Linked DNA regions of Kluyveromyces lactis. The protein of the gene in region 3 purifies or fractionates together with the protein of the main gene of each other region. This does not show direct contact. Links are inferred from orthologs where the notes say so. Each region holds a gene or a part of one and is shown on either strand. Other genes may lie near its edges. The genes, in order: OPY2, MSB2 and SHO1.

Evidence for each region.
Region 1: the proteins of SHO1 (region 3) and OPY2 purify together in Saccharomyces cerevisiae (affinity purification with western blotting, with the first as the bait; 3 studies listed by BioGRID). This does not show direct contact. The link is inferred for Kluyveromyces lactis from reciprocal best matches to the Saccharomyces cerevisiae genes SHO1 and OPY2.
Region 2: the proteins of SHO1 (region 3) and MSB2 purify together in Saccharomyces cerevisiae (affinity purification with western blotting; 4 studies listed by BioGRID). This does not show direct contact. The link is inferred for Kluyveromyces lactis from reciprocal best matches to the Saccharomyces cerevisiae genes SHO1 and MSB2.

The regions. Positions count from the first base shown.
Region 1 is NC_006038.1:796,531-799,618, forward strand, and holds OPY2 (Opy2p), read left to right. Parts: upstream 1-1,237; coding exon 1,238-2,479; downstream 2,480-3,088.
Region 2 is NC_006039.1:1,596,213-1,600,528, forward strand, and holds MSB2 (Msb2p), read right to left. Parts: upstream 2,835-4,316; coding exon 108-2,834; downstream 1-107. Other genes in the region: SNU71 (Snu71p), read right to left, coding at 3,756-4,316. UniProt on the Saccharomyces cerevisiae protein: Plasma membrane signaling mucin that promotes activation of the MAPK for the filamentous growth pathway. Partially redundant with the SHO1 osmosensing branch for the activation of STE11.
Region 3 is NC_006041.1:628,437-631,366, reverse strand, and holds SHO1 (osmosensor SHO1), read right to left. Parts: upstream 1,591-2,930; coding exon 517-1,590; downstream 1-516. Other genes in the region: DNA-binding protein kinase TEL1, read left to right, coding at 1-213; AVT5 (amino acid transporter), read right to left, coding at 1,914-2,930. UniProt on the Saccharomyces cerevisiae protein: Plasma membrane osmosensor that activates the high osmolarity glycerol (HOG) MAPK signaling pathway in response to high osmolarity.

The DNA.
Region 1 (3,088 bases), on a different chromosome or scaffold from region 3:
TCTCTTATAAGTTATTAATCTACGGTTCAAGATTGAATCCAGGAAGATGATACCCTTTATACTTATATAGTATCACAAAAACATGAATTAGCTCAAGATATCAATTGATTTCTTCGTTTAAATTAGAATGACAGAAAGTACTTTAATGTCCCGCAGCCGCGATCAGGTACAGATATGTATTGGGACTGTATCGTGAACCCGTTGACTATTTCTGTGTTAACTCTGTGTACGCTTGTAACCTTTTAAGTTGAAGGGGAGGGGAGGCACAAGTGACAGATAATCTGAGTTGCATAACGTATTACCCGGTTGCACCGAGTTACTTTCAAACAAAACTGAAAAGTTTATACACACGTGACACAGAATTCAGGAATCCAAGCTCGAGAATTTGAAAACATTCAGGATCTGATCCGCTCACTCTTTTCTTTTGGAAAATCGCCAAAAGGAAAAGGAAAAGGAAAGACGACTGGCTAGCTTAGAACGGGAAGTACCAAGAGCCATGTATTCAGCCAGAACGTGCAATGAATATGATAGCTAGCTGGATTTTCCAGTGAACGGTATGTGCTAATTGCAATGAAGGTGGTATTGGGTAAGTGAGAGGCCTTTACAAATGAGGAATTTCACGTACTACGGAAGCGGTGAAGTATTTTTCTTGGGCAATGTAAAACAACGTTCAAAGAATTTAGAATTCCGCACGTTGAAACGCTGACGCGATCCAAAAATATAATAGTTTAAAAAGAATCTGAATGGGGTTGTTTCTTGCCTCAGAGGCCTGTGTATTCTATTCCAAAAAAAAAAAATCAGTCGTTTTATAAATTCTGGAGTTGGCCCAATTACAGGCATACATTACAATATAGAATAAAGAGCAGTTTCAATAAATCCATTAGTCAATCAGTTAAAAACTTTTGGTTCACTTTCAGTCTTCTCTTCGAGTTTTGTATTTTCGGTTTTTTTTTTTGGTTCTTCCATAGACAGCGAAAAATCAAAGATTCCATACAGATATCATACTGAACTACTTCCAAAATCTGTTGTATCTGACAAGGAACCACAAGGTCTTTCCACCATCCACCCTTACCGCTAGCTCTTTCTCTATTGTCAAGATAAACAGGGCCATTCCCGGTTTAATATTGTCTGTTGACTTTATATTCATTCTGCTCATCGCGTTCTTTCAGCAGCAGAGCTATTCACCATAGAAGTGATACTGAAATATAGTTTTGGCGATCTAGTACCGGCTTGAAAAATGTCGGAAAGCGTATCCAGTACTGTAAGCAGCAGTGTGTCAAGCACAGCTTCAAGTTCTAGCACTAGTACTGCAAGCTCCGGAACTTCGTTGCAAGATGGTTGTGTCACTTGTGATAACAATGTAACGTGCCCGGAATGTGATGATGATGAGTACTGTGTCACAACATCATTAACGTGCACACAATGCCCAAGAACCTATTGTCAGAAGAAGGCATCTTCAAGCAGTAGTAGTGCATCATCATCATCGTCTGCGGCTGCTATTTCTAGCGGAGCGTCTTCTTCGTCGTCCTCTTCCAGCAATAAGGTCGGACCTATTGTTGGTGGTGTCGTCGGTGGTGTCGCATTCGTAGTCATAGTCGTGGTGTTGGGCTTCTTGTATTACAGATATTATAAAAGAAAACGGTCTGCATTGCCCCAGGATCCCGAATATATGGAAAAAGGTACGAGTCTTGATCCAAACGGATCATCACCGCTTCATCCAGGCATGCTTCGTGTTGGCTCTTCGTCATCACGCGTCAGAGAAAGGAACAAGAGAAATAGAAGTAGCGCTGCCACCGTTCAGACCAGTACCGCATCAAATATCATCCCTGTAGCATATATCCCAGGTGTCACCACGAATCTAACGAAGAAGAATTTGAGGAAAGGCCAAGGAAGAGGTTCAAGAAGATTTTACCAGGATTCAGATCGAAAGTCACATATTACATTGGGGTCCAGTATTCTTGGCGGTGATGAAGATGACGACGACGAGCTCCAACAGAACTTACAAGATTTGAACGAGGAAGAAAGCGGTTCATTTGCAGGGAATAATAATAATGGTGCGGGTGCCACGAATAATATGACTACTGCAATCCGAGCTAGACCGAAATTGGTTCAAATCGATGAAACTGCTGAGGAAGATGAAGATGAAAATGCGAATCATGGAGTAGATCAAGAAGCTGAAGAAGACATCGAAACAGAGGCTAACGAAACGGGCAATACCGATAATCCATCACATTTCAGAGAGACGAATGTTCAAGACAACTCAATTGGTCATGCAGGACACGGCAATGAATCTCAACAGCAACAGGAAGAAGAACAAGGACAAGGGCAACAAGGAGATATACGACACTATAGAAATAGTATGGACTCCTCCAATTCGGACTCACGTGATCCGTTCCATACCACCGTGCATTCATCATCTGACTCAAACAGCGAGGGATCATTCATCTTGGACGTGGAAATGGCAAGTAATCACCATTAAACATGACTACCACTTTCCCTTCCCCACTAATCTTTGGTAACACACCAGTTGTACAATTTTAGATACAGTATGTAATAAGACCTGTTATATCGGGCTAATTCTTGTCAGGAGCACCTGCGTCCTTCGGTATATATGCGAGCCTTTTCCCCCAACAAGCCCCGCAATATACCATAAATCAACGATGCTCTATAAGTTTCCAAATAGAATGTAGGATCTACTGAACCCTGCATGTATATGTCACTCGATCATGTCACAATCTGACTACTTAAAAGAACGTCTCTTAATACGCAATTTTCACTGCCAACATGATTTCCAAACGATATTTGCCAACGAACCAAGAATTATCGGTCCAACTTCGAAAATACTACCTATCCACAGTGTTTTTATATATCTAAGCTATGCTACCCTGGGCTACCCTAGGCTACCCTACCTATATGCTTCCCGTCCGATCTTCGATTAACTCTTAAATCACAATTGCTCACCCAAACATCACATCAGCTTATGCCAAGGGTACAGGCCCTCCACAGTAACCGGAATAACTTACGTCGAACCAAAAAAAGAGGCTAACCCTACTGGCAAACCGTAGTTTCCCCGAGGGAACACAGATAC
Region 2 (4,316 bases), on a different chromosome or scaffold from region 3:
CGGTGTTGCAAATGGTCGAGCACCATTTTAGCAACCCTCTCGTGGGTATCATTTAGTGGAGAAAAAAGCAAGAACAGAATACAAGATCGGTGAATCAAATTTTACCATTACAAGTCATTCCAACCTAATGAGTTTTCTGTGGCAATTGGTTTCGAAATTTTCAAACTAGATGTCTTTGTTGAAAGTTGAGGTTGTTTTTCCCCATTATTTGCGACAGAAGCAGCATCTTCAGGGTAATCGCTGTAAGTGTTATAATCAATCCAGTTATTAATCTTAGCACTTGGGCTGATTGACACCTGGTCGTCGTTCATAACGTTACCTTTTTCAACAACTGGATTAAAATCGAACGAAGATTCGTAATCATAACTGTCGTAAGAATGTTGGTCATCTAGATTTGGATTAGCTTGAAGTTGCTTCTTCTTGTTTCTAATTCTCACTGCAAGTAAGCAGATGCAAACCAAGGCTATCAAGAAACCACCGACAATGGAACCAACCAGAATTCCGATGGTCTTCCCGTTCGTACCTGTAGAAGATTTGCTTGAACTACTAGAGGAATAGTTGCTTGATCCTGGGTTGTAGTTTTGATCGTCTAAGGAACCCAAGTTAATTGCACTGCCGCTGCTCGACTTCTCTTTAGTCGAGTCAGATCCGCCAGAGCCAGAGTCAGAGTCAGAGTTAGAGCTAGAATCAGAGTCAGAGTCAGATCCAGAGTCAGAATCTGACGAAATTAAGGAACCAGAATCTGAACTGACAAGACCAGTTAGTGGAATAGAGGCATCAATGTACGATGAAAGCTGTTTTAATGCTGTTACATCGTTATTGTAAATGACACTGGAAGAGTTCAAAATCTGCGCTTGAAGAGTCGAGACAGAATCTTCTGGGAAATATACTTTTGCAACAGTGACAAGGTAATCTAAACTTGTAACCTTTAATGGAACTAACTCCAAAACTGAAGTATTATCGAATTTTTGGGCCCCATTGAAGGGATAGTTCAAAACCTTTGGCAAAAATTCAAAAATTTGAGCGTTAGAAACGGGATTGTTGACAGTAAATGGATAATTCAACTCCTTCTTGAATCCAACGGTAATTAGCGTATATCCTGCAGGTTGCACAATTTCAGTGGCAGCTGTAATAGCTTGAGGCAATGTTTCAGTAGCGATCTTTGAAGATGTGGTAGATGTAGATTGAGTACCAGATGTTTCGAATTCTGCTACCATGGTAGTAGGCAACCAAACTTGTTGTGTTGTGGACACTGGCTGCTCTGTAGTAGTGGAAGGTAGTGAAACAACTGGTTCAACGGTAGAAACTACGGAAGTGCTTCCAACCTGGCTTGTACTTGATGATGGTTCTTCAATTGGTTTGGTAACAATGCTTGGAAGTGATGTAGTAGCACTTGTTGGAGCCAATGTCTCAGTATCTGTTGATGGAGCAGATGTACTAACCACTGTTTCTGATGAGACAACATCTTGAGATGGAGGTAACACTGATGAAGAGATTTGAATGTCATCAGTAGCCCATGGTTCAGAAGTCGATAAAGTTTCAATTGGCAATGATGATGTTTCCTCCGTGAGGATAGTACTGGTTGAAGGCTCTGGAATAGATTCTGAGGTACTGCTTTCTGGTAGAGGTTCCAAACTAGTAGTGCTTAATGGAATTTCAGTGGTAGTTGGTTCCACGATGTCGGCACTTGTAGTAGAAGGAGTTGGTTCTTCCGTAGTGGTAGGAATTTCGGTCGATTCTGTAGTGGAGAGAGAAATTCTTGTTGATTCATCAGTGGTGGTAATAGGAACTTCTGTTGATTCTGTAGTGGAGAAATCATTATCAGTGGACTCAGTAGTGGATATAGGAACTTCTGTTGATTTTGAGGTAGGGAAGTAAATTCCAGTTGATTCATCAGTAGTCGAAGAAACATCTGTGGACCGCGAAGTGGGGAATTGAATACCAGTGGATTCATCGGTAGTTGATGATGGGATAGATTCGTCAGATGCTGTAGAAGAAGTAACAGGAGGGAAAGTGAAAGTTGTAACGAAATATCCACCATCACTTGAGGACGTTTCATCAGAAGTGGAATATTCAGTTGAAGAAGTAACAGGAGGGAAAGTGAAAGTTGTAACGAAATATCCACCATCACTTGAGGACGTTTCATCAGAAGTAATTTGTTCAGTTGAAGAAGGCTCAATTGATGATGTTACAACAGAAAAAGTGGATGGTTCAGTAGAAGAGGATTCCACGGACGAGAGGACTGATGAAGAAGAAACCTGAGAAGCAGAATCGGTGATGTAGGAAGCTGTATCACTACTGCTTTCAGCAGAACCTGTTTCAGTAACAGTTGTCGTAACAAAAGAATCTTCAGCTGAAGAAGTCCCAAAAGAGGTAGTCTCAGAAGAAAGAGCGGAGGAACCGGATAGAGTAGTTACACTAGCAGAATCGCTTGCAGTGCTCGAGGAGGAAGCCGAGTATTCAGAAGATGGGATACCATTTCCACTGGTAGAACGTGAGATCGCAGAAGAGGTGATCGATGAAGGAGTCAACACAGAAGTGGTACCTGAAGTACTACTCGAATCATCATCGCCATTACCATTTCTCGTACGACTCTTAGAGTGCGTGCTTGAAGAAAGCGAGAACGTGGATGGTTCTGCCACTGTCAATGAATCGTAATTCAAAGTAGTTTTCCAACTGCTCTCAGTGCTGGAACTGGTCTCGGTACTCTGAATGGATCTAGTAGAGTTATCAGAACGAGAAGTCTGGAAAAAATCCAGGAATCCTTGGGCAGATACTAAAAAGTTGCCCAAGAATATAACGGTTAACAAAAACCTTAAATTGGAAAATTGCATCGTGTTAAGCGAATGAAATCAAATGAAAAAAGAATGTAAAATAGTTGGAAAAGTAATCAAAGTTTTGCCGAAGGCCTTAGTTCAAACCTGAGATTCTCAAAGTTTTCTAATGACAAACCGGCAATCCGTAATAATAAGTAATAATTTTATATCACCAAACAATGGGACGGGGAAAAAAAAAACAGAGATCGATAGTACACTTCAACCTGCCTGAAGCTCTTGTCACGTTCAAAGTATAAGCTCACTAAACAAACGATGGCAGTTTCCTAAAGACTGAGGATTGGAAGGTAATTTGGATCAGTAGGTCAGTTCTGATAATCTTTCTTTATTAAAAACCTCTAATAGATCCTTCTTATCAAATGTATAAAAAACTTATAAGTAATTTGAGATGAATCAATAAATGAATGAATGGAGGAACACAAAGAAAAGAAAGATGTATACACCAAAATATTACCACTGGTAACGTTCTTTGTTGAAAAGTTTGACCCTGACGATAAATCTCGAATCTAAAAACTTATTATCTTTTGCCTAAAGCAACCCGAACGAAAACAGAAACTAAATTCCACCATTATCAGGTGTGTACATAAGTTACAAGTAATAGAATCTCTATGTTTGTTCCTTTGTTTATCTCATCCTGCCAATTCTTCCTGTAACCGTTCTGGATCTGGTAAAAAATTGGTGAAGTTGAGAATGTATCGCTATATACGATATACAAAACGCGAATCAATATGAAACACGATTACCCGGACCTCTAGTAACCTCATGTTACCGCCCGATCTGGCTGGAACACTCGAATCGGGCGAAAAAATTTCGTGACAGTCACGTGAGACGTAACCGGGTAATAGAATCTCATTATTAGACATGTGACACACATACCTACATATACATATATATGTATATTCACATGTATGGTATATTCCACTACTGTTCCATCGCTTCCCATATACGGCTCACTAGGACAGGGCTATCTTCGTCGAACGTCTCTGTAAGCTCAGTCTCGAGTGCCTGTTTCGATTGATGTTCTTCGATGTTTTCAAAGATATATGAGACTAAGTCGGGCTCGTAAACTCCCAAGTATTCTTTGACGAGTTCTTCCACTACGCCGCTTTCCCTTAGTAGATTCAACTTCTGTTGGAACGCATCGGTTTCAGGAGTCTCTTCCTCTTCTATCTCATTCTTTGTCTTTCCAATGGATTTCTTTAGTGCTAATTTAATCTTTGGTGCAGCCGTTGTCGCATCTGCGTCCGATACCAATTTTGTCTCTGTCTCTGTCTCTGGCTCTAGCTCTAGCTCTAGTTCTGTCTCTGGCTCTGTTTCTGTTGCTTTTTTCTTTGGTACTTCTTCAGATTCCCGTTTACGGTCCTCTTCATCTGCCTTGGATTCAGATTCCTTGTATGGCCTGTGATGGTCGTGGTAAGGATCCATGGCAAGATGTAATAACTCTTTTAACATAGGACCTTTGTTCTTTTGTAAATGCGTTTC
Region 3 (2,930 bases):
GAGGAGGAAATTAGTGTTTCCGATGCAGATTTCAGCGAGCTTTTAGAAGAAGATAATAATAATGATGAATCCATAAGAGCACTAAAGGGAGTTGAAAGTAAGTTATATGGAGACGGTTTGAGCGTTGAAGCAATTGTTCAGGAGCTTTTGTCCAGTGCTACTGACAAACAAAATTTAGCGACAATTTACATGGGATGGTCCCCATTTTATTAAGATTGATGTGTTTGAAGTTCTTACTCGAGATGAAGACTTTATTATACTACCAGCACCTGAAGCGATTTGCAAGCAGTATAATTATAAATAATAGCATATTCATTAAATAGCATGATTCATTCGAAGCAAGTATTTGCGTGTTAATGAAGAATTCAGTAACTGTGTTGATAAAAGCACTTGAATTTTTCGCGAATAAGGTTGATAAGCCGGTTGTTATTGCAAACTGTGGAAATAATATAATATAAAAGACGATACACAAATCAAATGTTTAATGATACAAACTGATGGGAGGCAGTAATAAAATCAGTGTGATTTCCCATCCAAAAGCTTAACGTAATTACTTGGGATAATCCCTGTTTCCCCGTTTGACTTCTTGGCTTTCCACCATCTACCCTCGATATCACCAACCCTGAGAATTTCGCCCTGTTCGAAGGATATTTCATACGCGTCAGTTTGGTCCGCTTGATAGGTATATAAAGCCTCTGCAGTGTATGGGAAACTGTTTAATTCTTCACCAATGTCACTGTATAGGCCTAATGTGTCTCCCATGGTAGTATCTGTGTTGGCATTGGTGGTATCTGTGATGAAAGTGCCAGTGGCCTGTGTATTCAGTGTAGCAGTATTTTGCGCATTAACATCAAGGTTTGGTTTCGAAGAGGAATGATCTGTATTTTCAAATCCGTTCAGCACTGTAGACGACACATACTTTGTAGACGATTGAAGTTCTGGCGCATACATGTTGCCACTGTGGCCCTCACCTTCGTCATCGTGGTGGACATCAGGCAGAGATGCTGAACGCAAGTCTTCCTGGTATTGGTATGGGTAAGAAGGTTTGACCGGCAGTCTCTGCGATCTGGCAATAGCCATGGATGTCTCTAGCACCGAAGGACGAATTCCGCGTAGTGAGAACGAATCGATCCATCTATTGGTTGGAGATGCATTATCTCCACCAAAATAAATCACCCACACCAAATTGATCATGGATAACAAGATAAATCCTGCTGCTGCTGCACCACTCTTGGACCCTTCATAGTACACAATACTGTTAGTACTATTCGAAGTATATACGAATGCGATACCAACAGCACAAGTAATGAACATTCTATAGTAGTCAACTAAATCCAAACAGTACACGATAAAAAGCGTAATCATTAGTAGTATCTCGTAAACTATAGTCCACCAAGAAAATCTTGGGAATGGAGACGTAGATGCTGCAACAGCAATGGATCCCGCCAATGCAATGATCCATGAGATCAATGCAATACTAAGTGTGCCTATGGCAAAAGGATCGCCCAAAAATGACGAGATGTTAAATTGATGAGATACATGCGGATTCTCCCTTACAGCACGGGCTTGACTTGCTTTAATCAACGCCATCTCTCTGTTTGCAGATATTCCCTTGCCTCGCTGGACTATTGGAACACTTGTGACAACACAACAACTAAAATTGAAATAAACTTGCTTCAAGTTCAAGTATGTTCGTATTGATTACTTTTTATATTTATGTATATACGGTATACATTTATCATTTTTTTTGGTGTCTGTCTACAATGAGAGATGAGTTATTTTTTGATCATGTGACAGGCAGCAACCAAAGGCTCGCTAGGAATACGCGGGCCGCTTATTTAGAGTGTCAATCGGGAGTACAATTGGTAGCAGTATCAATGGTTAGTCTCTAGTACCCTGTTTATCCTGTACCCTCAATGTGTCGCATGTAGAAATATGGTAGCACTTAGTGAAGTTATCATGACGATGAATCCCCAAATAGCAAGTAACAATGAGATAATTCTCAAGATTCGTTCTTTTGCTGGTGGTACAACGGATTTGGCGTACTCCGATGCGATTAACTTGTAGCCAAATATTCCAGGTAAGATGAAGGATATAGAAGTGGATCCGGTTGCTCCTACTATTGACAAAACGTTTGCTAGCGACGTAACACTCATAGCGAGGATGTACGAAAATAATAGGATTCCAGACGTGATAAAGATGAATCTAGGGCCTTCTAACGTTACTACTGGAGGCTGATTAGCGCTGTTTTCTTCAATTAATTCGTCTTCGCATTCGTAGGTTAACTGTTCGCTAGATTCGAGTTCAGAGTCCCGTAATAGACTGTTTTGTTCTGCACTTGTGGTTGTCATTGGGGGATGGGTGTTCCCCTTGGAGAAGTAATGTAAGATATGATTGACAGATGCTCTAGCTGGATGACATTGTAGCGGGAAGGCAAGGATCACTAACAATGCTATAGCTATTCTACCGATGGTGCTGGAAATGGAGTTTGGGTATAAGGTGATAATGTTACCAGTAATATGATCACCGAAGGTGCAATAACCTAGCGCTCCAATGGAAATGTACAAAGACATTGCTAGCGTAATGGCAATCCTAATCAATTTCGTTATACTGTCTAAAGATTTGTCTGATTGTTCATTGATGATGGAAAACATGTTGTGATGGCAAGTATACGCGAAAACGAAAATTGGAAAACTGCTTAGCATGGATGAATCCACATCACTGGGTTTCCAGATGCTAACATGGCCTCTTAAATGGTCGATTTCGCTATTTGGAACGGCAAAATGGAAGACAACTAATACGCATAAGTACCCAACTGCTGTAATTGCAATGGAAGAAGTGTACCTTAAAGAGTCTAACTTCTTAATGAAACACAACGGTGTCACGATGATCAACGTAACTGCAGTGATGTGAAACTGGCGTGATAAGAG